Caenorhabditis elegans: one gene and its partners. The protein of the gene in region 4 interacts with the protein of the main gene of each other region in a pairwise test. Each region holds a gene or a part of one and is shown on either strand. Other genes may lie near its edges. The genes, in order: icpp-55, rabi-1, hsp-25 and F19C7.8.

Evidence for each region.
Region 1: the proteins of F19C7.8 (region 4) and icpp-55 interact in a two-hybrid assay, tested with the Caenorhabditis elegans proteins (one large-scale study listed by BioGRID).
Region 2: the proteins of F19C7.8 (region 4) and rabi-1 interact in a two-hybrid assay, tested with the Caenorhabditis elegans proteins (one large-scale study listed by BioGRID).
Region 3: the proteins of F19C7.8 (region 4) and hsp-25 interact in a two-hybrid assay, tested with the Caenorhabditis elegans proteins (one large-scale study listed by BioGRID).

What each region holds. Positions count from the first base shown.
Region 1 is NC_003279.8:367,110-376,031, reverse strand, and holds icpp-55 (Aminopeptidase P N-terminal domain-containing protein), read left to right. Parts: upstream 1-2,586; coding exon 2,587-2,701; intron 2,702-3,318; coding exon 3,319-3,415; intron 3,416-4,358; coding exon 4,359-4,677; intron 4,678-5,270; coding exon 5,271-5,608; intron 5,609-6,785; coding exon 6,786-7,257; 3' UTR 7,258-7,531; downstream 7,532-8,922. Other genes in the region: R119.3 (DeHydrogenases, Short chain), read left to right, coding at 2,290-2,344; rnp-8 (RRM domain-containing protein), read right to left, coding at 8,092-8,286, 8,823-8,922.
Region 2 is NC_003280.10:8,581,489-8,587,582, forward strand, and holds rabi-1 (GDP/GTP exchange factor Sec2 N-terminal domain-containing protein), read right to left. Parts: upstream 3,599-6,094; 5' UTR 3,563-3,598; coding exon 3,492-3,562; intron 3,108-3,491; coding exon 2,903-3,107; intron 2,724-2,902; coding exon 2,064-2,723; intron 1,785-2,063; coding exon 1,617-1,784; 3' UTR 1,546-1,616; downstream 1-1,545. Other genes in the region: arl-1 (ADP-ribosylation factor-like protein 1), read left to right, coding at 522-632, 679-861, 921-1,169.
Region 3 is NC_003284.9:6,032,878-6,042,091, forward strand, and holds hsp-25 (SHSP domain-containing protein), read right to left. Parts: upstream 6,768-9,214; 5' UTR 6,587-6,767; coding exon 6,549-6,586; intron 6,360-6,548; coding exon 6,217-6,359; intron 5,066-6,216; exon of another isoform or gene 4,983-5,065; intron 4,825-4,982; exon of another isoform or gene 4,818-4,824; coding exon 4,680-4,817; intron 2,898-4,679; coding exon 2,792-2,897; intron 2,227-2,791; coding exon 2,103-2,226; intron 1,981-2,102; coding exon 1,870-1,980; 3' UTR 1,586-1,869; downstream 1-1,585. Other genes in the region: ipp-5 (putative type I inositol 1,4,5-trisphosphate 5-phosphatase), read left to right, coding at 1-34, 89-401, 1,134-1,160.
Region 4 is NC_003282.8:4,634,682-4,640,976, forward strand, and holds the start of F19C7.8 (SH3 domain-containing protein), read right to left. Parts: upstream 3,415-6,295; coding exon 3,111-3,414; intron 2,290-3,110; coding exon of another isoform or gene 2,153-2,289; intron 2,109-2,152; coding exon of another isoform or gene 1,899-2,108; intron 1,853-1,898; coding exon of another isoform or gene 1,648-1,852; exon of another isoform or gene 1,620-1,647; intron 1,281-1,619; coding exon of another isoform or gene 1,147-1,280; intron 1,102-1,146; coding exon of another isoform or gene 889-1,101; intron 843-888; coding exon of another isoform or gene 770-842; intron 1-769. Other genes in the region: R105.5 (Vitelline membrane outer layer protein 1), read left to right, coding at 1,648-1,852, 1,899-2,108, 2,153-2,289.

The DNA of each region.
Region 1 (8,922 bases), on a different chromosome or scaffold from region 4:
ACGAAGTCAGTCGAAAAACTAAAAAATTCCTCTTTTTTAAGGAAAAAACTAAGAAATACTTTTAGTTTTTAAATTTTTTTTTAAAGTCAAAAAAAAAAATTGAAAAAAGTTTAACTCCTAACTAAAACTTGGAAAATTGTCAAAAAAAACCAAAAAAAAGCTTCTTAAATCGAATTTTTGGCTTCTACCAAAGCCAGGTAGAATTTTCTGCAAAAATAAGAATTTGGAGAATTTGGAAAAAAATCCAAAAATTTGGAATCAAAAATCAAAAAACACTCAAATTTACGAAAATTTAAAGGATTAAAAAATTAAATTAAAAATTGTTTTCAAATAATCAAATTCTCTTTTCTGAATGAAAAAGTTTCAAATTCGAATTTTAAAAAAATTAAAAAATTATCGAAAAAATCGATTTTTTTCAATTAAAATTTGAAAAAAAAACGAATTTTTATCGATTAGGAGTATAATATCTGAAATATTATTTAAAAATATAAATTTTAAAGATTTAAATATAAAAACTTGGAGAAAAAATCTGGAAGCAAGCAGAAATCTGTCGAAAAACTAAAAAATTCCTCTTTTTTAAGGAAAAAATCTCAGAAATTCTTTTAGTTTTTAAAATTTTTGAAAAAAATTCAAAAAAAAATTCCAAGAAATCTAACTCCTAACCAAAACTTGGAAAATTGTCAAAAAAAAATCCAAAAATTTGGAATCAAAAATCGAAAATCACTCAAATTTACGAAAAATTCAACAAAAAATTGTTTTCAAATAGTCAAATTCCCTTTTCTGAATGAAAAAAATTTCAAATTCGAATTTTTTTTTGAAAAAAATTATCAAAAAAATCGATTTTTCATTGATTAAGAGTAAAATATTCGAATTGATATTTAAAAATAAAAAGCTTTAAAAATTTAAAAAGTTCAAATATTCGAGAAAAAAAATGCTTTTCTCAAAAATTCTCAGAAATACTTTTAGTTTTTAAAGTTTTTGAAAAAAATTCAAAAAAAATTTGAAAAAGTTTAACTCCTAACTAAAACTTGGAAAATTGTCCAAAAAACCGAAAAAAAAGCTTCTTCAATCGAATTTCTGGCTTCTACCAGAGCCAGGTAGAATTTTCTGAAAAAATTTTTTGAAGAAATCCAATAATTTAGAATCAAAAATCGAAAAACACTAACACTTACGAAAATTTCGAAAAAAAAAGTCCCGAAAAAATTCAAAAAATGAATTTTTTTCGATTAAGAGTATTTTTTAAAAAAATCAAATATAAAAACTTCGAGAAAAAATCTGGAAGCAAGCAGAAATCAGTCGAAAAACTGAATAATTAATTTCAGAAAAATTCTCAGAAATACTTTTAGTTTTTTAAAATTTTTGAAAAAAATTTTAAAAGTTTAATTCCTAACTTGACAAATTGTCGAAAAACCCAAAAAAGCTTATTTAATCGAATTTCTGGCTTCTACCAAAGCCAGGTAAAATTTTCTGGGAAATTTTTTGAAAAAATCCAAAAATTTGGAATCAAAAATCACTAAAATTTACGAAAAAGAACGTTCTTTTCCAATTTAAATTGAAAAAAAAACTAATTTTTATCGATTAGGAGTATAATATTTAAAAATACAATTCAAATATAAAAAAAATTCGAGAAAAAATCTGGAAGCAAGAAGAAAACAGTCGAAAAACTGAATAATTATCTTTTTTAAGGAAAAAAATCGCACTTTTTGGCTTCTACCAATTTTCTGGAAAAAAATTTGAAAAAATTTGGACAAAAAATCGAAAAACACTCAAACTTATTAAAATTGAATCAAAAAATTTAAAAAAAATTTAAACCGCAAATATCGAAAAAACGGGAAAAAAATTTTAAACATTGGATCGAAAAGTCTCAAAATTTGGTCACTTTTGGTAAAAACAGAAAAAATCTGAACAATTTGAGAAAATATCGATTTTTCTTCAAAATAAGAGGATTTTTTGTAGTTTTTCAGTTGAAAAATTTTTTTATCGAGAAACGTTTCGAAAATTTGAAGAAAAAAATCTCACATCCAAAATTACCATAAAATTGGAAAATTGATAATATTTTTTGAAAAAATACAATTTTAAACATTTAAAAAAAATTATCATATTGAAACAATCGAAAAAACTAAAATTTTTTGGTACTTTTAGTTTTCAGAATTGTTGAAAAAAAACTTTTCATCAAAAAAAAATTTTTTTAACCTAAAACTTCCGAAAAATTTCGATTATTCGGAAATTTTTTGGTTTTTTTCATAATTTTGTTTTCTAAAAATTCAAAAAAAAATCACTTTTTTTCAGGTACATCACCGGCGAGAACTGCATTGTTGGAGGAGGAGTCTCGTATCGATTGTAGATTTTTTTTGCAATTTTTCATTCATTTTTTAGACTTTTTTAGTAGGTTTTTCTGTTCATAATTGTTAAGTTTATTTTTTCTATTAATTTTTGCTCAATATAAAATCGAATTTTTTGTTTTACCTCCTTTTTTCTCTCGAAAATTCAGGTTCCCTGTTTCCCAAAAAATCTATTTTTTTCAGTTTTATTCATTTCTAAAAAAATTCGAATTTCCCTCCCACACAGATCAGATCCAAAAAAAAAATGCTCAGAAGTGGGCGGAGCCTACCAATGTGGCCATCGCGAATTCCAAATGAGGAATATGCGATGAGAAGGACGAATTTGATGAATTTACTCAAAAAAGAGGTCAAAACTGGGGGTAAGAGGCAGAGAAATGGCCTGGTGGCCTAGAATTCTGAAAAAGTTAGGCCATCATTTGGAAATGAGGATTTGCAGTACAAATAGGACTTTTTTAAATTAAAATTTTCTCAAAAATCCGAAATTTCGCGGTTTTTAATTGAATATTGGGATTTTTAAAGATTTTTTTTTCAAAAATTCGGATTTTTCAGATTTTTCCGTTGAAAACTCGAATAATTGCCAATTTTTGGGTAAAAATTCCAATTTTCTTTTAAAAAATTAATTTTTTTAATTGAAAAAAAAAATTAAGGCGAGTTTACTCTCAAAAATTTGGAATTTTCCGATTTTTAAATTTTTTTTTGAAAATTTGGATTTTAAAATCCAAATAAAGAGAATTCTCAAAAATCCGAATTTTCAGATTTTTTTAAAGGAAAAATTCTATTTTTCTCTATAAAATTAAATTTTTCCTGAAAAATGTTTTCCCATTTTTCTTGAAAATTTGATTTTTCTAAAAAAAAAAACGAAATTTTTCAGAAAAATTTATTCTACAAAATTCATCGTGTCGAGACCCGGTACCGTAATAAAATCACCATGGTGGCCTAGAAAACCATTTAAAAGTTAGGCCATGACCTCTCAAAGTTTCAGAAAAGCAAGTGGTCGTTGTGATGAAAGGAGCACGGAAATCATATATTGCACCGGATGTTCCACACGCGTTCCGACAGAAAAGCCATTTCAGGTTCGGTTTTGATGGCCGTGGCCGTGAAAATGATGAGAGAAAACTCGGCCACAGATTAACTTTTTAAGTTAAAAAAAGCTTTTTCCAGAAAAAAAATAAAAACTAGAGAAATTTTTTTAGATCCAATTTTCAAACAAATAAATAAATTTTAGAAAATTTTTTTTCTGAAAAAATCGAAGAAACAATCGAAAATTGGAATTTTTCCCAAAAAAAATTTCAAAAACAAGAATTGATTGAAATTCTTGGTACTTGTGTATTACATGCCCTCATTTTAATAGTAATTTTTTAAGTAGCAAAATAGCAATTTCTAAGCCTAAAAAGAGAAAATGTATATCACGTTTAATTTAAATGGAGAAATTAATGAACATTTAATTTAATTTAAAAATGAGGGCATGTAATACACAAGTACCAAATTCTTCAGAAAAAAATTGAAAATTTTTCAAAAAATCTAAAAAAGAATGAAAATTAATTTTTTTGTCAGAAAATATTTTTGTTTTGAAAATCAAAATTTCGCCCTAAAAAAATTGAAAAATAACCTAAAATTATCGAAATTTAAGCTAAAATTAATATATTAGTAGAATTTTTCTGAAAACATTTTTTTTTAATTCTAGATTTTCCCGAAATTTTTTGTTATAAAATTAGTAGAAATTTAACATGTTCTTCTTTAAAAAAAAAACTAGAAAATCAGGAATTATTGAAATATTGAATTTTTCAGGAAAATTTCGTTAAAAAAAATCATTGCCGCCGAAAATCGACAAATTTCTTTTTCTGAACGAAAATTAAATTATTTAAAAATTGAATTTGTTTTTTTTTTGTTCAACGAAAATAATAGATTTGTTCACAATTTTCGGATTTTTTTTGGGAAAAATTCAAAATTGTTTGATAAAAAAAATAAATTAAATTTTTAACAGAAAAAAATTTGAAAAATTTTTTTTTTTTGCAGATACCTAAACGGAATCACCACACCAGATTGTTATTACATAATGCAATCAGGAATATCCGAATCTTCAAAAGAAACAAATATTCTTTTTGCTGACCGTCGTAGTGCCTATGATGAGCTATGGGAAGGCGCCCTACCAACTGAATCCGAATGGGAAAAGACTGCAAAATTCACGGAATGTGTGCCGACTAGCCGGATTCTACAGACTTTGGAAAAAGTTTGCGATAAGGGAACTGCAGTGTTTTTTGATTCGACTTCTGATGATTTACTCTATAAGTTTGTACAGGCTAAAGCTAATTCTGTTCGGGAAATTAATCATTTTGTGAGTTTAGAGATATATAGAATTTGCAGAAAATTGTTCAAGCTTTGAAAAAAAAATCCGATTTTCGAGGATTTCAAAGTAAAAATTCAAATTTTGTCCAATTTTTAAACGAGGTCAATTTTTTTCGATTTTCTAGTGGAAAATTTGATTTTTTCTTGAAAAAAAAGAATTGTCTGAACAAAATAGGAAGTTTAAATTTTCCAGAAAATGGTTTTAGGAGGTTTTTTTCATCCCAGAATAAACATTTTTAATCTAATTTTTCAAATTTTTCAAAAAAAAAATTTTTTATTTACTTTTTATTTTGTTTCACCAATTATCAATAAAATTGAAAACGCTCCAAATTTTAAACTGAAAATTTTTTTTTCGAAAAAAAAAAATTTTTTAACGGTAAAAAAATTTTCCCAATTTTTACTGTTTTCGAAGCTTTCAATATTCATTTTTTTTTTAGGAAAAAGTTCTAGAAATTATTTTTTTGAAACTTTTGGAAAATTCCAATTTTTTCCTAAAAAAAATTTTTCTGAACACCCGAAAAATCGTTTTAAAATTTCAAAAAAAAAATTATTTTTTTGCCAATTTTCAAGTTTTCCTTGCAGATCGAACGTCGCCGAGTAATAAAATCTCCATCCGAAATGAGCTCAATGCGTGACGTGTGCAACGTGGGAGCCCAGACAATGAGCTCAATGATATCGGGATCACGTGATCTACACAACGAGAACGCGATTTGCGGGCTCTTGGAGTTTGAAGGACGTCGTCGTGGATCAGAAATGCAAGCATATCCACCAGTGATTGCCGGTGGTGTTCGTGCCAACACTATTCACTATTTGGACGCAAATAATGACCTAAATCCCCGGGAATGTGTTCTCGTGGATGCTGGGTGTGATTTGAATGGTTATGTGTCAGATGTGACACGTTGCTTTCCGATTTCTGGATTGTAAGTGCTAAAAATTAGTGATAAAACCCCAAAAAATTAAAAAAAATTGAATGTTTTCCCATTTTTTGCTGATTTCGCCCACAAGTCTATTTCTACGAAATCTTGCATTCCAGTATTTGTGGTGACTCAAATGAAAATTTTTCTCAGAATTTCAGAAATTACAGAAGTTCGGCCAAAATTCAAGAAAAATGGGGTTTTTCTAGAAATTTTGAATATTCCCGTTTGAGACACCACAAATCATTCTGGAATGCGAGATTTCGTAGATATGGATTTGTGGGAGAAATGGGCGGGGCTATTCCAAGATGGCTAAAAAATTACGCTAAACATAGAAAAAAAAAAGAAGAGGCACCACCGAAAGGAGAACAGGTGAAAAAGGAGAACAGAAACCACGCCCATTTTTTCCGTGCCGCGCGCAAGTTTTTCTGCAAATTTTTATTTTCAAACGAGACAACGAAGCTCCGAAATAACACGTTGATGATAAAGAACACGATATGCGTTATTTCGGAGTTTCGCTGTCTCGTTTGAAAATAAAAATTTGCAGAAAAACTTGCGCGCGGCACGGAAAAATGGGCGTGGTTTGTGTTCTCCTTTCTCCTTTCGGTGGTGCCTCAAAAAGAGTCTTTTTTGCACTTTATTCCTTTAAAAATCTCCAGAAAATTCAGGAAAAATGATTTTTTTTCTGGAGATTTTGAAAATTCTAATTTGAGTCACCACAAATTCGAGAAAAAAATGTTGTTCCGTAGAAATGGAATTCAGGGTGAAATTCCCAAAAAATTACGCTATAATGAATTTCAGAATTCAGGAATTGATTTTTAAAAAATAGAAGATTTCGAAGAAATAGATTCGTGAGAGAAATAGGCGGTGCTAATCACGGAGTTCTCCCCTTCCTCAGTGAATTTTTTGCGCTCCATTGACAATCGCCCGCCGGACAACGCGTGGGAAAGTCGTGTACTCCACACGTACAAATGCATTTAGTTTTACAACTAAAATCGAGCCGCGACGCGGCACCAGATATGGCCGAGCCAAAATGGCCTAGTTCGGTAAACTCTTCCATTCCAATTTATGAGGGAAGCCAGAAATCCGTGGATAATCGTTTTATATAAAGTTTAATATAATTCGAACGAAATTTGAAAAATCGTTTCAAAAAACCTTCCCAAAAAAAAATTCGTTTTTGCAGCTGGTCAGACGCCCAACTATCCCTCTACGAAGCGCTTCTCTACGTTCACGAAGAACTGCTCACCTACGCCCACTCAATGGAAAAAGTCCGCCTAAGCGCCCTGTTCCGCCGAATGAACGAACTTCTCGCGGCAAGTTTCACCGAACTCGGCCTGATTCGATCTACGGATCACAAGGAGATGATTCATCAGGCGGAGAAGCTGTGTCCCCACCACGTCAGTCATTATCTCGGAATGGATGTTCACGATTGTCCGACAGTATCCCGAGACATTGATCTACCACCGAATGTGCCATTTACCATTGAGCCGGGAGTGTATGTTCCGATGGATTGGCCTGTCAAAGAGTTTCGTGGCATTGGATACCGTATCGAGGATGACGTGGCGACTAGTGAAGCTGGAGGGATTGAGCTGTTGACTGCTGCAGTGCCAAGGGATCCCATCGAGATTCAGAGGCTCATGGGAACGGCCGAATAATTGTTTGAATGTGGAATACCGAAAGAATTGAGAAAATATTTTAGAAATTGCTCCAAATTTGGCCCTGATTTGATATTCCTTTGTTCAAACTTTTCGCTAAAAACATTCTCATTGGAGCGCGTTATGCCATGTGGATTTACGAGATTCAGTTTTACACATTTCTGTCGGTTTTTTTGCTGAAGATCTGCATTTTCGTGCCAATTGAACATTTTATTATCCAAAATTTTTTGCGAAAATTTTCAAAAAAATTAGTTAACTTTACACGAAAATCGATAACAATGATGAAACTCGTTGAAAATCTTAATCTCGTAAATCGACATGACTTTGCGCGCTCCAATGAGAATGAGGCTGGAGTGGCGGAAAAATAATAATTTAGAAAAATAAATATTTTCTTTTGAATTTTTCGGGCCAAATTTGGAGAGATTTCGGTACTGCGCCTCAAATGTTTTTTTTTTGTTTCTATAGTTTCCTAGTTTGTATTTTTTTTTTTGAAAAAACTCGCATTTTCATTGTTTTTCCTATCATTCCTATCAGAGGGGACTCGGGGGAACACAAAATTCAAAATTCACAGAAAACTAGGTGATGATGTTGCTGGAGGCAAAAGAACAAAAAAAGATAGAGAGGGTGGTGTTGGTGGTGGTGGTGGCAATATAAAAAATGAAAAATATAATAAAACAGGAAACGATAAGGCAATAGTGGGATAAAAACGGTATGAAACATCATTCAAACTGAGATTCAGCACAGGAATACTTGGGATGATGTGTGTATGTGTGTGGAGAGAACGAGAATTGCGAAAATGCAATAAGATTATATTATTGTATATGTGATCTTCTCCTATATTTGGAGCATTGTAGCTCCTGGAGCAGCAGCCGGAGCAGTAGACACTGCTGGAGTTGTATTTTCGATGATTGAAGACGCCTCGTCGAGCAGCATCTTCTCGTCGGCTGTAGCGTGTGGGCAAAAGTCCGACAGATCACCGACCAAGTGAGCAATCGATGGAACTGACGAGTGACGGCACATTGGGTATTCCTGGAAAAATTAATTAATTCATAAATATTTCGTGAAATTTTTAACAAATTATATATTTTTTTAAAGTTTCGCTTTATGAAATTTTTGAGTCTTTTGGCTCAATTTTTTCAACAAAAAAAATTAAGTTTTTCTGCAAGTTAAACAGGTTTTAGTATAATTTTCGCCACATCTGACGCGCATGGGTCTCGCCACGCGGATAACAGGTTACTGTAGCTCGTGTCGATTTACGGGTAATGCATTCGATATTTCAACCTTGGCAGCAAATTTTCAGAGGCACCACGTTTTCAAGTTGTTGGCACGGTGCCAGATCCGGAATCGCACCAGATCTTGAATCCGTGGTGCCTCTTTCGTTCTGCTCCCTTTTCGTGGGGCCTCAAAACTGGCACTTTGGGAATACATTTTCCGAGAAGCAGAAACTTCGAAAAAGGGGGGCGGGGCATAAGCAGTCACGCCCAGAAAATGGACAAAAATTTTGACTTTTTTGAACTTTAAAAAGTTGGGAATTTTTTCGGTAATTCAAAAAAAAGCCCCCGTACCGGAAAAACGAAATGCTTCTTCTCGGAATTCGGTGCTGCCGAATGAGAATTCGACGGAAGACGACTATTATTAATGTCGTCGTAGTTGATTTTCGGCTGC
Region 2 (6,094 bases), on a different chromosome or scaffold from region 4:
GAGGAAAATGAAGTGTTTTTTTTGCATTTTGATTAAGTTTTTTTTTTCCTTTAAAGGTTAATTTTACCTTTATATTATCTTTATTATTAAAATTTTTCGCAACTCACCTACTTCCTCATTCTCCCACACTTTCAAATCCTAACCTTCTTTCTTCATTTCACAGACTGACATATTTAGTGCTCGCTTCTCTCCAAAAACATAGTCAGTGAGCATTTTTGAGAGAGTTCTTCGACCCTTGCTAGGTCCATCCTTCCTGGCTCCTTTTGCACCAATCTCTTCCGTCTCTTTTGTCTTTGAAAAGTACGGAATGGTGCTTTCCAGTGTAAAATGAGAGGATTTTGGTGTTATTTTAATTTATTTCGCTAATATTTAAGACTATTTATAAGAAAAAATTAAGAATTTATTTTCTAGCCTTCTACGTTTTTTGCTCGTAAATCCACGTTTACTTGTATTCCTATTTTTCAAAACGTTTCAAAATATTTCCGATTTCAATTTAAATATCTGTGTTCAGATCAGAAGCAATGGGAGGAGTAATGTCATATTTTCGTGGCCTCTTTGGCGCCCGCGAAATGCGTATTCTCATCTTGGGACTTGATGGAGCCGGTAAAACGACAATTTTGTATAGGCTGCAGGTTTTTATTTCTGGCTGAAAACAAAACCATATAAGCTAAGTTTCAGGTCGGTGAAGTTGTGACCACGATTCCAACAATTGGTTTTAACGTGGAACAAGTCGAGTACAAAAATTTGAAATTCCAAGTCTGGGATCTTGGAGGACAAACATCGATACGGCCTTATTGGAGATGCTATTATGCGAATACTGATGCAATCATTTATGTTGTGGATTCTGCTGATAGAGATCGAGTAAGTTTGAAATTTTATTTTATTTTTTGTAGTAAGGATTTTAATATCAACTGTTTTAGGTTGGAATCTCTCGTCAAGAACTTGCAACAATGCTACAAGAGGATGAACTTCAAGGAGCTGTTTTAGCAGTTTTAGCCAATAAACAAGATATTGCTGGATGTTTGACTGAAACTGAAGTGTACAAAGCATTGGGATTGGATGCTCTTCGTAATCGTACCATTCAAATTTTCAAGACATCTGCTTCAAAAGGAGAAGGGCTCGACCCAGCGATGGATTGGCTGGCGAATCAATTGCAACAGAAAAAGTGATCAAATTCACGTGAATTCGAAGATTTATCATCCAAAATGAGCCCAGAACAAATTGTCTAAAATCTTAATTTTCTAGAATTGTAGATGATTTCTGGGCACTCGTAATACATTTTAATTCTCCATATTTTGTTTAGCTGCAAACACGAGGTGTGTCTTTCTCTCTATAATTCTGTGATTTTTCTTCCTTTTCTTCTATCCTGTTCTGTTCTTTCTTTCCTTCCTTTTTTGTCTTCAAAAATCTCGTTTTATTTAATTTCTATCCGCTTAATGATTGGTTGTTCTATTGCCTTATCCCAATGTTCTTGAGATGATCCGTTTTATAGTTGTTTTTTTGTAAAATGTAAAAACGAATAATTTATACCACCAAAAAATTTGTAATTGAATTATTTATTTGTATAAAAAGTGTGAAAGACCTGTAGTTTCAAATTATGGTAAAATACTATTAATTCAATGATGGCGTATGTTGGAACGCGGGACAAATCCTAGCCCCAGTTTGGCAAGTGACATGTTTTTCCGCAAGTTTACAACGTGAAAATATGAATCTCGAGGCCCGGGTTTGATCAAACCTTGGGACAAGTATCGGATACACGTGAAGAAGTCACAGACTGCGGCAATCTGTAAATCTTGAGTTAATTGAGAAATCAAGATTACGGTACCAGGTCTCGGCACGACTGAAAGTTTTGAAATTCAGGTTGCGAAAAAAAGTGTGCCTTTAACGAGTAAGGTAGTTTCTATTACGTTTTCTAAGTAAAGGGTTTCGAAAGAAAATAACGAATAGAATGGCAAAACTGTGAGAAGTGAAAACTACCGTACTCTTTAAAGGCGCGCACCTTTTTGGCAGTCTCAATTAAAATTATCAATCGTTCCGAGACCAAGAAAAGTGGAATAACTCACCCTATTCCTGGCAATTAACGAAACATAATGCCATTCTTGTTCCTCATCACCAGTTCTTACTCGATACGGACAAAACCTTGAAGCATTTGTTAATGCACAAATCCTTACAGATGGTTTCAGTTCATTTAATGGTTCAAGTTGAACACGATTCTCTCGAATTGCCTTCATTATTTCTTCTGATAACTCAGAGTTTTCGAATAGCATACATGGTTCAACTTCTTCAACGGTAACTCTATCAATAAATGGATGAGATGTCGTCGGATGTCCAGCTTCTCTCCAAAATTCAAATTCAGAAAAAAGAATTGGATCGATCTCTTCAACTGCATTTGCTTCTTTTTGTTCTCTATCTTCTGATGGTGTTAGTGTATATGTTGATGTAGATGGAAGTGATGAAGCTTTCTTTTTATCTGATACATTTGCAGCGTCTTTTTGTTTTTTTGATGATGAACTTGATCCATTGAATAGTTTTGATAAAGTTGATTTATGTTCTGGAGATGTTGTCTGCTTGAAATGGTTTTGACCCATTCCTGGAGCAGATATCAATTCTTTCAATGCACGTACTTCTGCTTGAAGAACTTCAACTTCAAGTCTTGATTCGGTTAGTAGTTTTTCTGCTTTCTCACGACGAGCTTCTGCTGTGTTTACCATTTTGTACGCCTCCTGTAAACTTGAAGATGTGATGGGAGTTTTGAGACTTTTTCATCGGTTTTCAATATCATTCTTATCTTTTTTACTTGGTCAACTTTCTAAAAATTTAAATTATCTTATGAAATTTTGAAAATCAAAATCGAGAATTTTTATAAGCTAATTTCTCAGGATCGGAGTTGTACTGGTCTTACCTGAAATAATTTTTCAGTAAGTTCTTGAACTTCTGCATCCACTGTCACTTGAATTTGTGTCATCTTTTTATCTTTTTCAGCAAGCGCCGTTCGTGTTGCTCTGAGCTCAGCCTGCATTCTCAAAAGCTCCTCAGCCCTAGGACTCATTAGCTCAGAGTCGGATGATGTCGAGGCAGATGATGATGTTGTGCTTCTGGCGGAGATTCTGAAAATTTAAGTTTGAAAGAGTTACTCGAATAATGTTTAGGGATGACAGCATTGTTGAGTTAGATTTGTATTGTTTTTGTAGGCAATTCAGTTGCCAGAGTCTAGAGATATCAAACATGGGTAAAAGTGAAAATGGTAGTGTTCCACAAAGAAAGGCAAGGCATTAACAATGAAAAGTTCGGCACTTCGTTCCGCAGATTCACGAAAATTACTCTTTAAGGAACCTATGAAACCGGAGAAGAAGAAGCACAGTTACATGTGGACTACTGTGGTCATAAAATACTATATAATGAATTATATTTCATTAAAAGAAATTACATAAAAGTGTATAATAAGAATCATTTACAAATTGTCAGTAAATTAATTAATATAAACATCTTACCTCACATTATCCTGGGGATCGACTGACAAATCGAGATGAATTGGGTTCAGAACAGAAATTGTATCAACCATTTTTGCATAATTTGTATTGCTTTGATAGTTTTAATTCTGAAATTAAAGTAAAGTATTAATGTATGTCAATGATAGAAAAGAGAAGATGTCTGTAGATGAAAAAGAAACGGAGATGTATGTTTTTTTCATTGATAACGTAATACAGATAGATTGAAGACAGGAAGAACGGGTTTTGGTGATGTAACGAAGGGGAATGAAAGTAAAAAAGGGAGGCGGGAAAGACTGGAAGAATAAGGTTCCTTTATAATCCCGAATGGATTATAAAGAAGACAAGATGTTGAGAAGAAGCATTGCGAAATGATTCTGAAATATCAGGGAATTCATGAAAAAAACTGGGAAAAAAGTCAGATGATTCAGAGAAAAAACACGACGAAGATGAGGATTGAACTTTGGGAAAGATAGAAAACAGGAAAAGAGAGAGAGAGAGAGAAGAGATGACACATGTGCTCACAGACAAAGATTCTTCTATGACCAGAGAGTAACAACAATAACACATAAACACAGAGATTGATTGGAGAGAAATTTTGAAGGGCAATTGAAGTTGCAAGATGTTCCTCAGAGCTTTAAAACGAATGGGGCATCGGATCATAATAATTTGATAATTTTAGATCTCGGCTAGAGACTCGAGCAGAATAATTTCATGCTATTCATTATTTGTTTTCGGAACCTTCATTTCTAAAACAGCTACAGTAAAGCTTATTCTAGTTAGGTATGTAACAAAAACATCTAGAGCATATCACATTTTGCAAGATGAATAAAAACCTGCAGCCTATACAAAATTGTCGTTTTATCGGCTCCGTTTTGAAAGCTCATGACATTGGTTTTTTGCTAGCAATCTGAACTCCATTTTAATTGACACCTGGATGCTTAACTTTTATATAGTAACCTTGAGAACCGTCAAAAAGTGGCGATTATTCAGTTTTCTGGAAGTCGAGGACAAAACCATAAACGATGATTTCCAATTTTCCAAAATCGAAAAACTAGATATAGAACATCAGTAAGCAATACACTGCCCTAAAAGTTCCAAGTTATCTCGATTAGAAAACATGAAAAGTGAACAAAAGGCTTGTCCTTCTACGCTTTTTTTACATGAAAAAAGTGCAAAACGTCCTTGGTTTTTCATCAAAAGGTTAGTTATACGACCACTAATTTCAAATAACCCTGTCCCAAAGAAGGAATGGAAAAAAAAGAAAAAGAAGTAAAATGAAGAGAAGAAAAAAGTTAGCTATTCATGAAGAAGCAGTTAGCGAATAGGAAAGAAAGGAGCCACCACACGGAAAAAAGAAGAAATTGAAATTTCGTGAGAAAAGTGTAATCAAAGAAGTAGAAGAAGTAGAAGAAGTTAGAAAAAAAACGAAACAAAAATAGAAGACTACAAATTTTTTGGAAAAAAAAACAAAAGAAGAATCGAAGTCACCTCGTAAAAAAATGTAGATCTCGTAAGAGCTGTCCGAAAGTACCACAAGATAATACTCCGAAGCTGAAAAAATGGTTACAGACAACGTTTTAAAATGTTTGACATTGTAGATATGTGAAAAGTACAAAATTGGCTTCAGTATAGACTTTTTGTTGACTTTGTGGAGCCAATGGAGCACGGGTTACATCGAATCATACTTGTCCAATCAAAAATTGGAACCTATTCCCATCAACTTTTCTTCCAAAAAGGAGACGAGTACAGCAAAACAGAACAACACGCAGTGTTTATTTTGCGGTTTCGGTTTTCTTCCATTTCTCCGTCTAGATCTCTCAACACTATGTGTGTCTGTATTGTATTGGTAGGTATTGCAAAGAGGAATCCGATCAAAAGGGAACGGCGGCCAGATTTTACGGGCAAAAAAGGTACTCAAAAGGGCTTATACAGTCACTCTTTAGAAAAAATAAATGGCGTCAGATATGGAATGTGGATAGTGTTGAAGTTAGAGCCATGTATCTAAATGAGAAACTAATCGAAGGTTTTCTACAAGGGAAAAAGTATAATTAAGAGTTAGAGAAGTTTTTCAAGAACAAGTTTCAACATTTCACACAGCGTTGGTTTTCGTACCAAAAGCTGACATGGTTAGTGATTTTCTGCGTTTTTTATGGTTTTGTACAACCTAAAACCGTCTTAAAGCTTAACACATGTTCTGTCGTATGCAAAGAATGGTGAATGAAAATAAATCGAAGAACATGTTTTAGGATGTGGTTGGGTTAGCAATAAGGTCATTCGAATTTACCGAAACTTGTGAATATACTTAACAAGGATCTTCGTTTTGACAGTACTATTTAGAAGTTTATAAACTTAATGTTTTTAAAACTTGATTTTAAAGAAAACTTTGAATAATTTTACAAAAAAGTAACCTATGCAACAGTAGAAAATATCCCAACAACATATAAAATTAGCCAAAATCAATCGAGATTTCTGTTTCTTTTGGTTCAATTAACTTTCCACAGCCTCACCACACTAAATTCAAATAATTAGTTAATTTATAGAATCAGGAAACTACCGAAAATGGCCTATATCAATCAAGAAAGAAACTAAAAAATGATTCAGTC
Region 3 (9,214 bases), on a different chromosome or scaffold from region 4:
TCCGCAGAGAATCGGATAGCGATGATAGTCAAAAGTATGATTATTGAAAGTACAAACTTAAACAAGAACCAAAGAATTAAAATTTCAGCAGTTGTGTTCTACGGATCGAAAAAAAGAAATTTGACTATTTCAATCACAAAAAACTACTGGACGACTGGCGATCGTACAGAGATGACGACAAAGAAACCGAAAACTTTCAGAGCATGTTTGAGATGCATATAAATTTCCCTCCAACATACCCGTGGAGTGAAGATCCAGAAAATTCCGAAACTCTGATGAAGACTAGGGCACCCGCATGGTGTGATCGGGTTCTGATGAATAAAAATGCATACTCGTTGGTGGAAGAAGGAGAGCCTCAGTATAGGTCATTTGGAATGGAAACTTGTACTGGAGATCATAAGGTAATATTCTAATTTTTGGAATATTTTTATTAAAATACTATATTTAACAATGACATAATTTAGTGTAGTTTTATGTAGTGAGAGACAAATATCTTTTTTTAACAGATTTTTTGGTTTTTTTTTAACTCAGATTTTATAATTAAAAAAAATGCTTTGAAAAGGTTTTGAAAATCTTCACAAATGATTGAAACTTCTCAAATTAACTCATTTTTATTCAAGATTTGTCAGTTTGTCGTTGACTAGTTGACTAGAAAACGTTGACTGGAAGCTGTGAAAAAGAAATGGGAAAATTCATGTCAAATTTTTATTAAGAATTCGAGTGAATTTAATTTGATATTATATTCAGACTATTTTCAACAACTTGTTGTTGCTATAAAAATAATTCCTTAAAAAAACTTTATTTAAAAAATTTGAAATTTTTTTTTAAACAGTATATCAAAATAGCTTGAACAGCATTAAATAATACTATTTTTAAACTTTTTCAAAGAATTATTCAGAATTACAAAATAAAAGTTAACTTGTGTTCAAATTGAAAACAACTTTCCTGAATACTTGAATATCAAAAAAAAACATGTTTTAAATATAATTTTGAATAGCTTTATGATGATTACATTGGATTAATATGTTAAAAAAAAACTACACTAAGACCTCGTTTTAGTTTTTATTTTAAATAATCTTTTGAATTCTAAAACTCTTTAATCAACAAAAAAATTTGAATTATTATTTTTTCAGCCGGTCATGCTAACATTCAACATCTGACATGGTTTTCCATTTTCCCTCATTTTGGCCAGCCTCCATTTTTCTTTTTTTTTTTCTTCATCTCGAAGCTACGGATAAACATTTTCAAATTGGCTTGCGCGAACTCTGAGTTTCGAATACCTACTTTTTGTTCTCGTTGTTACTATCAATTTTCAAACTCTATCAAAATTCCATTTTTTCCCAGTTCGCTTTTTTCCGCTAGAAAATTTATTTTTTCATTGAATGATCAGAAACGTGTTTCTTTTCTTTTTTCTTTTTATTTTCATATAATGCACGGGGAACTCTTTAACTTTTTAAAACAATTTTTATCATAATCGATTTTTTGTTTCTTTTTCTCTCCATTTTCAGTGATGTATTGCTAGTCTTATACACTTTTTGCTTTGCCTGACACTTTCCATCAGTATCAATCAATTGTTAAAACGAATCATTTGATAAAATTGCGATCTTATTATAGATTTAATGAAAAGATGAACATTTACTCCAGAAAATTGATGAACAACCAATAAGATTTGTAGGTATTAAATGTATTGAAAAATGAAGCGGATTGAATTGGAAAATGAATCGTAAACATGTTTAAAGAAAGGATTATGGTTGAGTCTACAAGTTTTAATGATTTACACTACAAGAAAAAGTTGATTTATTAGAAAAATGTAAAGTTTTTGTTGCGTTATTCGGGTTGGTGAGGAAGCAGGCGGCGATATTTTTGGTTTCATTGCTGGATTGCCAATTGTGGGAGTGGAGCCTCGACAGTGAGCACGCCATCAGTCGAAAGAGTCGATGAGATTTGTTCTGGGTTGGTGCCTCTTGGAAGAAGGAATTCCTGGAAATTTGATTGTATAGATTAATGCAACTGAATGAAGAGTGACACCTTGGGGCCTCGCTCCATATTTTTAGCCCCAAGAGAACTGTTTGAATTCTAAAATAAAAATAAAAAACACCCACCTGGTTGTACTCTCTGAAAACGGTGCGTTGTGGGGTCTTCTCCTCGTGTTTGGCGTGGACAAGAAGACGGTTGTCAATAGTCTTGACGGTAACCTCCTCTGGCTTGTAGTTAGCTACGTCAAATCTGGAATTTCAGTTTTGTTAAATAAAAAATTCAGTTTTTCTCTTGACTGGTAAAAAATAAGTTTTATCAATTTTTCGGTTATGGTACAGATTTTTTTGACTCGAAATTTCAATTTTATGAGTTTGTTGAATTTAGAGCTAACCAAAATGAAATGTGATTGATATTCATGCTTGGAATAAGAGTAAAATTTTTATGTATAATTTAAAAAAATAACTTTGAAAATATTTTTTCAACTTTGGAAATTGATTTTTGAAAAAGTTAAGGCGATTTTTTTCCTCAATACTTTCATTCATACATTGTTTGGCTTTGAACTTGGACGAGTTATTTGAACATCACAAAAATTCAAAGATTTTAACTTTTGGAGATTTTTCACTACTTTGTCTGAAAGTTTTGAAAAATCGGAAACATTTAGATAATTTTCAGAATATTTATAAAATTTGAGTTCGTTATTTTGAATAGTTTGAGGCCGGTAAATACAGAATTAAAATTATATTTTTAATATTTTTCGAATAAAATTTGAATCTTTTAACTTAATCTAAGAGTTGAAAATGCCTCAAAAAAGTACCTGAGACGAAGAGTCTTTCCATCACTTTCATCCTTGATGAGTGGGCTCTTCAAGTTGTCCAAGTATGGATCGTAGGTTGGACGATGAGCCATCAAGTCGCTGGGTCCTGCAACAAAAAAAGTGAATAATATGAAAAACGCGAATGCGACGTAGCACAACAATAGAAAATAGAGCAAAACTCGTCGCCGAGGTTGCAGTGTTGTTGCCGAAATGTTGCTATGCGGCTGCCTACGCGACCTCTCAGGATGTGCTGAGTGCATAAAACTACTGTGTAATAATTTGGTTTTGAATATATTTTGCGAGTTCACAACAAAAAGAACATATTCACAGAAACCCGCAGAAAGGCAAAAAAGAAAAAAATGTTGCGCTGAAATTTAATACCGACGTAGTGTTGTTGGGAACCATCGATAAATAAGCAAAATTGGTCAAAAGAAAAAAAACCTAATATGAAAACATAAACATTGGTAGATGAGGAATATGCACAAAAACCTCCGGGCAAATTTTTTAAAATTTTTCTTATGGTGTGAATTTTTAATATAGATTTAAATATTTTTATTCAATAATTTAAAGGCTTCAAATTTGCAGGAAAGCTCTAATTGTTTTCAAAAATTTGTCATTTTAACTTAAACTAGGCATTTAGGAAAATCTTTAAAATGTCTAAAACATTTTAGAGATTTAGTTATTTTTTTGCGAAATCCCACTTTTGATATTAAAAAGTTGAAATCTGCATGAAAAGGTCACTACGAAACAGAAAAAAAAACTATATTTTTGACGAAAAAAAAATCTGGTGAGCCCGTCTCAATTGTGCAATTGGGAATTTCCAACGACACATTACTTTTCTACAAGTATGCTCTTAGTTTGTCCTTGTTTTCTGTGTCAAACCAAACTGACAAAAAGAGTTTGTGAGTTGGCCGGCTCATATCATGCCCATTCTGAGTTTTACTCTGATTGATGATGGGCGAATAATAGTAAGGGAAAGAGTTAAAATGACGAATGGATGGATGAAAATGAAACGGAGTGAGTGAAAATTCAAAATTGATGCCGGCTGCAGATAATTTCATACGCTGAATGATGCGTTATTCGTCCCTTTGCTATTTCCTTTCTCCCTCCCGTCCTAAAATTCGAAAATTTTCCGAATCGTTATCGCCAAAATATGACGAATCCTCCGTTTGACTTTCATACCGATTCAAGAAATCCTGTTTTGAAAAGCCATCAAGAACAAGAAACGAGTCTTAGAAAACATGTTTTTTTGCATGGCCAGTTATTGGAACACGACGACAAAAAAAGGAAGGAAGAGAGGGAAAAGGAGGATGAAGAAGTGCCCCCACGCTAAGCACACATAGGCATGCAGCCACTGAAAATTTCTTCATTTTGCAACCATCCATTTGGGTTTTTTTCTAGCGCTGTGAAACAATGGGATTGGAGGTGTTCATAAGGGCTTTGCAGAAAATCTTTCAAAAAATATGAATATCCATTTTTTAAAATTAAAATAAATATACGAATGTAGGAAAAAAAGCTCAATATTAAATATATATATATATATATATATATGTTTGTAGAAAGTTCCAAATAATATTTTAAATAGTGTCTGAAAATTGTCGTTTGCCGAAAAAAATTTAACGACATAAGGGCAGCTTTCGGGCACTATTTCTGGTTTTTCTCGAACTTTCTAAATAAATAAAAATCTTGTTCAAAATTGACCAAATATTATTCTACACGTTTACTATGTATAATTTTTAATTCAAGAATTGGATTATCATGCTAGAAGGAGCAGTTTTCAGCATACCAAAAAAATGCTGTTGTGTTGTGGAAAGTTGGGAAGTTTTTTTTTCTTTGAAACCTTTCAGCAAATTTTTTTTCTATCTCAAATAACTGTGTACAAACTAACCGTGGAAAGATGGTGGTGGAAGTGGAGATCCGAATCCACCAGTACGGTTCGAAGTCTCGTGGTGAGAAGAAGTGTTCGAGTAGGCGTTGTACGGCTGATTGGAGATGGCAGCCGGTGGGCCTCCGTTTGGACGATAGCCTGCAATCATGAACCTCATCACCCTGTCTCCAAACGCAAGGTGACCTTGCTTTTAAAGTGTTGAACTAATTGACGTAGTCGGGGGGATAACGCACTAATATTTCGGCAAGAGATTTGAAGACGAAAATGACAAATTTCGAAGAAAGTTAAGGTGAATGCTGTCACTGGCGCAGTTCCAGTGCATTAGGCACCGCGAAATGAAATTTGGTCAGTGAGGGTCCGGAAAATGACGTTGTCCTCTTTTCTTTGTGTTCTTCTCAGCTTTTTCTCAAAATATTGTCAAGAGGCCTTTTTTCTCCAAAATAAGAGGCAGGAATGTTTTCGAAAACAACTTTTTTTGTAAAATATGGGTTTGTGAAATTGAAGAGAAAGCTTAAATTATTACACAAAAATCTATAATGCTGTGTAGCGCAATTTTCAATCGAAAGTATTGGTTCTTAAATCTACTTTCCGGATCATCCTGGTACATTATTCTTCAAAGTGCTCATTTTGTATGCTCTACTTATAATCTCAAAAACGAATGAACAAACATCAGCTGTCGCTCTCAGGTTTTTTTTTGCCAAGTTCGACGTGCCAACTGAGAAACATAACAACAAAAGAAAAATAAGTGGAATGTGGTGACGAAATACATCGAAACACACAAGAACACAGGATGAATGTGAGTTGTCTCGCTTGGACAAGTTCGGGGGTTTATAACATTCCAAAAAATGGAGAACACCTATTTGAAACTGAATTCCACTTAAAAATTTCAATTTTTTGAAAATTAAAAACTGAAATAGTTTTGAAAGAGTTAGGTAAAACTTGGCGGAAAAATCTAATTTTAAGAAAAATATTTTTTGGAGAAAAACTCAAATTTTTTGAAAAAGGTAGTGGAGGGATTATTGTATTGCTCTAAAAAGGATTAGCTGGGAACTCACACTTTTTAAAAAATATGTTAGGCGGAAACTTCAACTTTTTTGAGAAAATTTTTTGGCTATAACATCTTGTCTATTATGTTGCTCAAAATCTTGGTCAGATGTTTTTCATAAAAAATTAATATTAGAAAAACAATTGATAAAACAAAATTAGCTATATTTGTTTTTTATAGGTTGAGGAGTACGAGTTCTTTTACAATCGGTTGAAATTATGAACAATTAGCCTGAAAGTTTCTGGCAGATGTTGGGAAAATTGACCCATCAGATTATTTTTGAACCTTTTCATACAGCTTTTCAACTGTAATGAGAACTGGTTTTAAACTAATCAAATCTAATGTTCTAACTAGTTGCATTTTTAAAAAGTGCTGAAAAATATATCTAATTGTAAAATACGGGAAAAAATTGACGACTACATATTTAACTTAAAAGTAGATTTCCACAATTAGAAAAAAATATTTAGTTTAAAATAAATTTAAAAAACCAACCTTCAAATTCACTGCGAAGACGTTTCATCTCCTCCTCAACACGACGCATCTCTTGCTCAAAACGATCACGCATATTTCCAAATTCATTGTCAATGACCGAGTAGTTGGAACGGTTTACGTCGATACGGCGTTCCGACATTTCTCTGCAAAATTGTGCGAATAGTCAAACTTTTTATACATTTTCGATAGAGGTAGATAAAAATGATATGAAAGTTATGATGCGTTATGAAAACGCAAACAAAACCGTAAAACTGCGATTTGAAAATTTTAAACTTAACAACGTCATTGAAAAGTGTGAAGTGGGAATTCGAAATCGGAAAAATGGACCATACCTTTTACTATAGGAGTAAGTTCGAGTGTACGTGGGCATGATGGAAATATAAAATGAAACTTTTTTTGTTATGATTTGGCTCTAACCACCATTGATGCTTTTTCGTCTTTGTACGCCTTGTGAAAAAAGCACGGGGAAAAATATCGGAAAGGCAAAAAGCATTTTCATCGTTGTCGAAGCACATTCCAAAGTTCTGAATTATCGGAAAATGCTTTCTTCCGACTAGATGATCGACAAATGCTTTCCTTCCAACCAACAGTAGTTTTTTATTTGAAAAATAAATAGTTTTTGACAACACGTGAGTTGAGCAATGTTCGCGTTTTTTTTTTAGAAATTTGAAAGTATCTTGAAACATTAAGCAACTACATATGTCGAAAACTGAAAAATGAAAAACACTAAATCATCTCAAAATTTTTTTCATATGTATAAATATGTACAAGACTTCAACAGTTTGTCCATACTAATTCCCTAACTATAAAAAGGTCTGAAAGTGCCTCCGGACTTTTAAACAAGGCATGTTTAATTTGGAAGCCCGTATTGAAAAATTATGAACAAATTAACGTTGAGCTGCAATGTTTCAGAACTAATCTTGCGGTGAGCTTAAAGATGATCAGAGTACCATAAGTAGCGCATTATCGGTGCTCTCAGGACAGGTGTGATGGTGGTATCAGATAGAAAAATTGTTTTTGGCTAGAGTGTATTATTTTTGTTATTGTATGAATCGTGTGGGATTTTTTTGAAAAAAAAACCTTTTTGTCAATATACAAATAAAAATAATTTTTGAATAAAAATCAGAAAATTTCCGAGCTTTTTATGATATTACAAAAGTGTGTATTGACAAAAACATAATTTCTGCCTGCTACCATACCACACATGTCCCCAGAGCACCGATGGTGAGCCATGCTGCTGTGAGCATCTATGAGATTTCTGAAAATTTGTAGCTTAGAGTTCATATTGGGCCAATTCAGGGGCTTTCAAATGATACATGTCTCGTAGTCCGGTGAAATCTTCAAACCCTTTCTTACTTAGTAAGACATGTTTTATAAACGTGCTTTGTAGTAGAGATAAGAAGGAGATAATAAATCAAAAATAACTATTACGAGATGATGATTAACATTTTTAAACTGCACGAAGAATTATAAGTAGATTACATTCTCTTGATACTTTAGTGACGTCATAAGAATTTTGGATAAATGAATTAGTTGAAATGGGAAGAGGGTATAAATGTCAAGCGAATTTGAATTGAGAACAAGATACTGAACAAACGGAAAATATGAGCTCTCAATTAAATAGTGGAGGACGAGTGACTGAAATCGCTAGAGAATAAGAATATAAGACGGAGACACGCACATATGTGTGTGTATGCTAACATCATTGCACTAAGTATGAGCACTAAGGAGGGTTCACTGTCCTGAACTGCAATATTTGTTGTTTAGTTTATGTGGGTGTTGATAGGCTCGAGGGGGTGTAGATGAGGAGCAGAGAAATTCTGGCCAAGGGGTAAGAGGATATCACGCTGCCAGCCAGCCAGCTGACAAAAAATTAGAGGTACCCCCCCCCCCCGATTGCCAACGGCGAAAAGCATCTTGGACCTCGGTTTGTTGCCCCCCCCCCCCCCGTTTGCTGTAACACCACAGCTGTATTCAATCAATTTTTGTTGATTTCTTCAAAGTGAACGCGCGCAGATGTTTGGGAAAATGTTTGGGAAAAGCGCGCGAAATGAAGATGTACACATAATGCGGCTGACTGGGTGGAAATGATAATGGCCGGTCACGAAAATGGAGAAGACGGCGTTCTTATCGTTTTGATTTAATGGAGAGATACATTTTAATGATCATGCACATTTGATCGTTAGAGAAGGATGATAAGCAGAGAAGCGTAGGGGATGTGTTAATAAGGAAGTTGTTAGAACAAAGTTGATAGGGTAACTTTTTTCTCACTAATTAAAAGTGGAGAATCGCTTTCGGGCTGATAGTGAGTTTTGGAAAAAGAACGGTTTATTTTCAGCTAAAGCTTAGAATATTGTCAACAAGATTTCGGTACGCCACAAAAAAACGGTATCAACCTTGATTTTCTATTTGTATTGATTCAAAATGTGTCTTGGTCGATAAATTTTGTAATGAGAGTGCTCCATATTTTTTCGAAAAAGTTTTATGGCAGTTTGAAAATTGGGAAAAAAAATCACATAATTAGAGCTAATTCTTTTTTTTAGTCATTTAACATTGAATGTTAGTCATTTTTGTCGTTTTTGGATACCTATAAAATTAAAAATGCCAAAATGCGCAATAAACAATGATAATTCAAAAGAAACTGATTCGACGACTGTGGCCCAAAAAGGCTGGCAAAATAAAAGCTTTAGCTAAAATTGGGTAATTTTTCTTGAAATTTTGAACCGCCATAAAAAAGTTTATGTGTATTTTTGAAAAATATTATTTCAAAATTTGTTCATTTTGACACAATTTGAGTTTCAACTATTTTTGTTTTTAGATGTCCAGGTCTAGAGAAACATGCAGATTTAAAACTAGTAAAGGTGGCAAAACGTACAAGTTTTCCACGGAACATGAAACACCAATTGAATGTCCGCGTAGTGGTCATCATCGCTATTCAATCCTCAATTCAACCAATCTCTATCCGTCTCTTGATCCATTATCAATGCTTACTTTTTGC
Region 4 (6,295 bases):
TAAATCTACTGATAAGTCAATGTCCAAACGCCATAATTTACGCGTTCTTAAAGAAGTAGTGGTGGATGTGCGGAAATTACTGAAATTTAAAGTTTCGATTCACCCACAAGAAAAACGGAAAAATTTAGTTAAGTGGGAAACAACCAGCTCAAATTCAATAAAAGGGCCTTAATTCAAAATTCGCGGCCACACGATTTCTCAATCATATTCGTTTAAAAAATTATTGATTTAAATGTAATTATTATTTTATTCGTTTTTTTCCCAAAAATTTGAGAAAGCTTGGACAAAGAAATTCTATAAAATATTTATTTAAAATTTATTCAACCAAATCTCTAGCTAAGTTTTGGAGGTTTTTTAAGGTTGTAATTTTCTAATTTCGAGTAATATGACTGAATACTACAACTTGAGACAATGAACTCACAGGTCTAAGTTTTGTTTTGATATTTGGTCATTTTAGAGGTATTAGGTTTTAACTATTTCTCACAGGTCTCACAGTACAGGAGTCTTTGAAAATAGTTTCAATCAATTAATCATTAACGTTGACACTTTCTAATTGAAAGGTCACGTTCTGGTAGTGAGTATATAAGATTTTCTAATCAATTGAAATAAATCAAATCAAATATTGTCTGTTGTAAACATGCCCCTGCTGAGTGTTCTGCTCACCCTCGCCGTGTTCTACACTACTGTCCATGGAAATGTACCAACGCGGGAGGACTTAGTTGCATGTCCTGAAGGCTTAGTCATCAACGGATTCCAACTCAAACTTTAACCGTTGCGAGGCCTTTTCGAGGCTGATCATGGTGTCACTGAACTCGTCTTTTTCTGCAATCCACCGGACGGAAGTAACTATTCTAATTAGTAAACTAGGTAATTAAATTTCCAATTTAGACAACCAAAGCCCCGATAACTTTATTGTAATAGACAATAATTCGCCATATGGATACTGGAGACAGATTACATGGTGCCCCAAAGGATCTGTTATTATTGCAATCCAAGAAAAAGTTGATTTCGAAAAACTTGACAACGCCGGTATCACCAACTTGGCTGCTAAATGCGGACGTCCACAAGACGACAGAACTGTTCAACCATCTTTTGCCTCTGGTGTGATAAAATAACATTTAGTGTGTTCTGAGATTGAATTTGCAGAGTTCTTCTATGCTCATGGTAAATGGACCCAGGAAAACTGGTGTGATGTTGGATCGGTCTTGGCCAGCTTTAACCCTAAATCTACCAGAAGACGAGGACTCGTAAGCGCTTGTTATGGATGCCGTAAAATCTGAACTGCTTTTTGTATTGCCTCTGGAACGAAATTTTAAAAAGGCATTCCCTCGAACTGTGCATTTACATGTATAATAAATTTCTAATCTGTCATCTTCTTATCTAAGCAACACAGAGAACTCTATTTATCAAATTTTTCAGTTATAGAAATGCCGCAAAGAACAAAGATTGTTAACATAAACGCCAGCTTTCTCGAACTTCCATTGAGTTTAGTCACTTCAGTTTAGTTGTGTTCAAAGTTTTGTTCTCCTATGTGGGCGTAGAATCGTCAAAATAACAAACAAAAACCTGAAAATTTTTAAGGAGCGAAAAAAATTAAAAGAGAAGAAGAAATTAATTTCACTCAATCAATTAATAACGGCTGCAACTATGCACCTGCTGATTGCACTGCTCATCTTCACCGTGTTCTACACTACTGCCCATGGGAATTTACCCACGCGGGAGGACTATATTGCATGTCCTAAAGGCTCAGTCATCAACGGATTCCAACTCAAACTTGAAACGAAACGAGGCGTTTTGAGCCTAGATCATGGTGTCACTGAACTGATTTTTTTCTGCAATCCACCGGACGGAAGTAACTATTCTAATTGGTAAACTAGCTAATTCAATTTCTAATTCAGATACCCTAAGCATCGATAACAAAATTGTCATTTACAATGATTCGCCATATGGATACTGGAGATCGATTCAATGGTGTCCCAAAGGATCTGTTATCATTGGAATCACAGAAAAAATCGATTCCGAAAAATTTGACAACGCCGGTATTACCAACTTTGGTGCTAGGTGCGGACGCCCAGAAGACAGAACTGAACAACCATCTTTTCTCTTTGGTATGGTGGAATATAACATGTGTGTTTTTTAATTTAATTTGTAGCCAAGCTCTACACTCATGGTAAATGGACCCTCCCGGAAAGCTGGTGTGATGTTGGATCGGCCTTGGCCAGTTTTAACCCAAGATTTACCAGAAGACGAGGGCTCGAAAGCGCTAGTTATGGATGCCGCAAAGTCTAGAATAATAGCAGTGGAATGAAATTTTAAAAATGCAACTAATTGAACTACGTCTTTATTTCAAGTTCACGTGTATAATAAATCTTTTTCATTTATTTACGTTAAAAAAACGTTTTTTTTTGTTAATTACAATTATGAGAGCATTAGAGAAATTGCCATAGCAGCAAATTTTTCAAAACATAAATCTAATTTGATTTTGAATTTTGGTGGTGTATGTTTCGTTTTTTCATGGAAAATTTTGTATAACTTAAGCCGAAGCTGCCGATCAATCATGTATTTCCAATTTGAGCTCATATCTGAAGAACCGTTGGGCTTTTGCTATAACATTTTGCAGGAAATTTTACACTCTTGAAATGACACAGATCAAGAAACACGATCAATATTTTTGAAAAAAAAAACTTCGGAGGTTTTAGTTCAGTTTTTTGTCAAGTACTACATAAATTTCCGAGTATCCATGGGAATAGTATCCTTAAAAGTGGGGCATAATAAAACATTTCAAAAAAGAGTTTTCAAAACTCAATCGAAATTTGGTAATTTGCCGAATCCTCCAAACATTTATAATTTTTAAAGAACTTTTATAATTTCTGCATGTTCAGAATGTTCAAATCTAGAATGTTCAAATAGCAACACTTTGAACGCAGCGCAATTGAAGTATGAAAAAGTCGTAAGAAAAAATATATGACTTCCAAAATTATGATAACCAAGTTTTCACTACTGTTTGACGGTACAATAAATTTCAAAAAAAAAATTGGAAGTCATTTTTAGAAGTCAAAACCACAGCACTCACAAACACAATAACTCCAAACATTTGCATAAAAACGTACCTCTTAATAATCTATGTATTTCAGACAGCGAAGATGTACATTTCTCAAGTGCACTTGTCATGGTTTTGTGCAACTGTTGATGATGTTGCTGTTGTTGATGAAGATGGTAGGGCTGGTGAGGAGGAAGTTGAGATAAGGACGGTGATGCGGTGATGGATGAAGTGGTAGTGGGGGTGGAAGCAGAGTGCGATCGGTGATGCAATGGAAGAGGACGAGAGGCTCCTCCAGCAGTGGTGGTCAGGTGGTGATGGAGGAACCAAGGAGGAGATGAACACCGTTGGCTTGATGATACTTTAAACTCCATTTTGCTCACACACACACAATGTTTCCTGCAAAGAGAGATTGATTGAGTATTTCTTGACTTGAGAACTTGGAAATTTGATGGATTGGAGAGAGTTCAAAATTTAAAGGTTTATATACTTTTATATTCTAGAAAAAAAACAACGATTTTTGAAAAACAATCAACTTCCCTGTCAATCACTGTGCAAAATGTGTCCTGGTTTTTAAAGTCTTTTACTGGATTGTTTTTGATATGTTTTTTGACGCAAAGTTCCAGGTTAGAGTTTTAAAACTACAAGTTACTGGTTTTGCGGTTTCTTTTTTTGAATTTTCAGTCACCAGAGGTTTGGAAAAGGCCTACCACACGCGCCGCATAAAATTAAAAATATATGTACTTTAGACTTGGTCCAAAAAAACTGATCACAAGACCATAGTATACTCAAAAAATTTAATTGGGCGGCGAGGTTCTCACGAGTTCTCGAATGACAAATCCCGACTTTTGAGCAGATACAAAATAGCAGAGAAACAGCTTAATTGTGATTTATGGAATTTGAGTTTTTAGTTTTGCAAAGAGTTTCGGGCCTAACAAAGCTCAGATTTTTTCTGATAAAAACTGGAAGGGAAAGTTTCGCGATTTGAGACCTCTTACATGAACGGGAACGATGAACCGGTTGATCTTTTTCAGGCATTTTTGTGCAATAGGAGGCATTTTGTGTAGGCAGAAAAATGGATGCCTGCCTGCCTGCTTGCCAACAAGGCTGCCTACACGCATGACGCTTTGAGCTACGAGTGCCAAGGGCTTTTAATATACATGAATGAGAGCACGAATTCGCTTAATTTATGTTTAGAAAGATAACTAATTTTTGTTAAAGTTGGGATTATATGTAAACCATAAAGCCTGCCTGCCTACAAGGCTGGCTACGTCTGCCTACACACGTAGCACAGTTTGAGTTATACACTAACGACCGAAAACTATATAGGTAAAAAGATATAAGTGTCCAGAGGCAAATGGAAGGCATATTAGAGGCGCCCAGGCGGAACGTCAAGGTACCAAGCATAGGCTTGAAGGTAGGCAGGCCTTTTTGTGGTAGGCTTATTTCAAACCTCTAGGAAAAGAAAATGTAGCCTAATATTTTTTCACTTTTAAAACTCATAAATCCTCTACTCAATTAGTACATTTGCTTTCTGCCGACAACTAATTTTCAAAAAAAGATGAGATAAAGATGAAAAAACCAAAAACACTGAGCTTCATCTTCTTCTCTTCCTCTATTTTTTACCCAAAACTACAAAATCTTCATCTCCGCCCATATCATCATTATCCACCCTCACTTTTTGATGTTCTGTGTAAAATCAGCTGTGTGTCGAAAGAAACGAAGAAGACAAAAAATGGAGAGAAATTTATGCGGCTGTTGTGTTTTTGTGTGTGCTGCCACAAATTTTCTCCGTGTTTTTTTTCGTACAATGCTCTTTTAGTACGTTGTCATCCTGATGGAATTTCGGAACGCGGCGAGAGCAGCTGCTCCGGCTTGCCCGGCGATGACCAATATCCGAATGGCTCGCAAGAACTCATTATTCTCGTTTTCTTCTGCTAAAGATTTCGAATAAATTGCACAATACCCTGAGCATTGCACAATTTTACACCTCTTCGCTTGATGGCTCAATTTTGTTTGGGGATATGGAGATAAATTACCTGGATTGAGCTAAGGAAGAGCGAAGAGTTTTGGGGTCCCGTTTGGATTTTAAATAAGCTATAAACTTTTGAAGACGGCGTTTTTATTGATTTATGCCCGCTTTTGTAGAAGTTCACATTGTTCAAAAAAAAAGCCAAAAACCTTAAAATTTGAAGCGACATGGTGCAAACGAGATGAGAATATTTTTCAAGTATTTTTACAAGCACCGCTCTTCAACTGTTCAGTTTTTTTCAAAAAAGAGCCAATGTCTGAAGAAACTCGTCACAGACCCAGCCATTTTCAAACTCAAATAACTCAACGGAGAAAGGAGATATCAAAAAATTGACAACTACAAAAATCTTTCCCGTGTAATTTTGCACATTTCGTCAATTGGAAATTTTGTTGACTGAAGCATGCTCTACGAAGATACGACCCGTTGAAGGTAACCCAGTAAAAAGGGAGGTAAGGGAAGATACAGACGGCGAGGCACTCTCCTTGTCTGCGTCTCATCCCTTATGAGTTATGACATTATTTTGAGGTTAATAAAGATGTCTGCCAAATAAAAATCAAAAACCTTGCAGGTTTTGCAGAAAATATGATCCGCTCATCTTTCTTCGAGTTTTCCAATATTTGTTTTTCAGAACAGGTTGTTTGAAACAAATATAACTCCACAGAGAAGCGAGATATCAGAAAATTGCAAACTACAAAAATGCTTCCCATGTAATTTTGCACATTTTGCTATCAGAAAACTTTTGAATTGGATCGCGCTCCACAGAGTTGCAACGCGTTCTAGCATGATGGAATGGAGGAAAGGAGAGACTCACAATCAGACGGCAAGACACTCTCCCTGTCTGCGTCTCGTCTCATCATACAGTTATGGAAGAGTCAATTGAGATGTATGCCAGAAAGAAAAAAGTAAAAAATCTTCACAATTTTTGCAAAAAAAATATCATCCGTCATTTTTTTTTCAATTTTCTCTTTCCAGAAAAAAAATGATGGCTTGCTCAAAAATCACTGAGCCACGAAACTTGCACTTTTCCTGAACTCTCTTTCACAACTGATCACAAAATTATTATCACACATTGTAATGTCATTGAACACTTATACACGAAATATGACACCTTTTCTTCCTTCTCCTACTATTCTTGTGTTTTGTTCAGAAGGTCGTCATCAGTTTACAGCAGAAGCAGCAGCACACGTTTTACTTTCAGCTAAGAACACACACACCTGGAATGT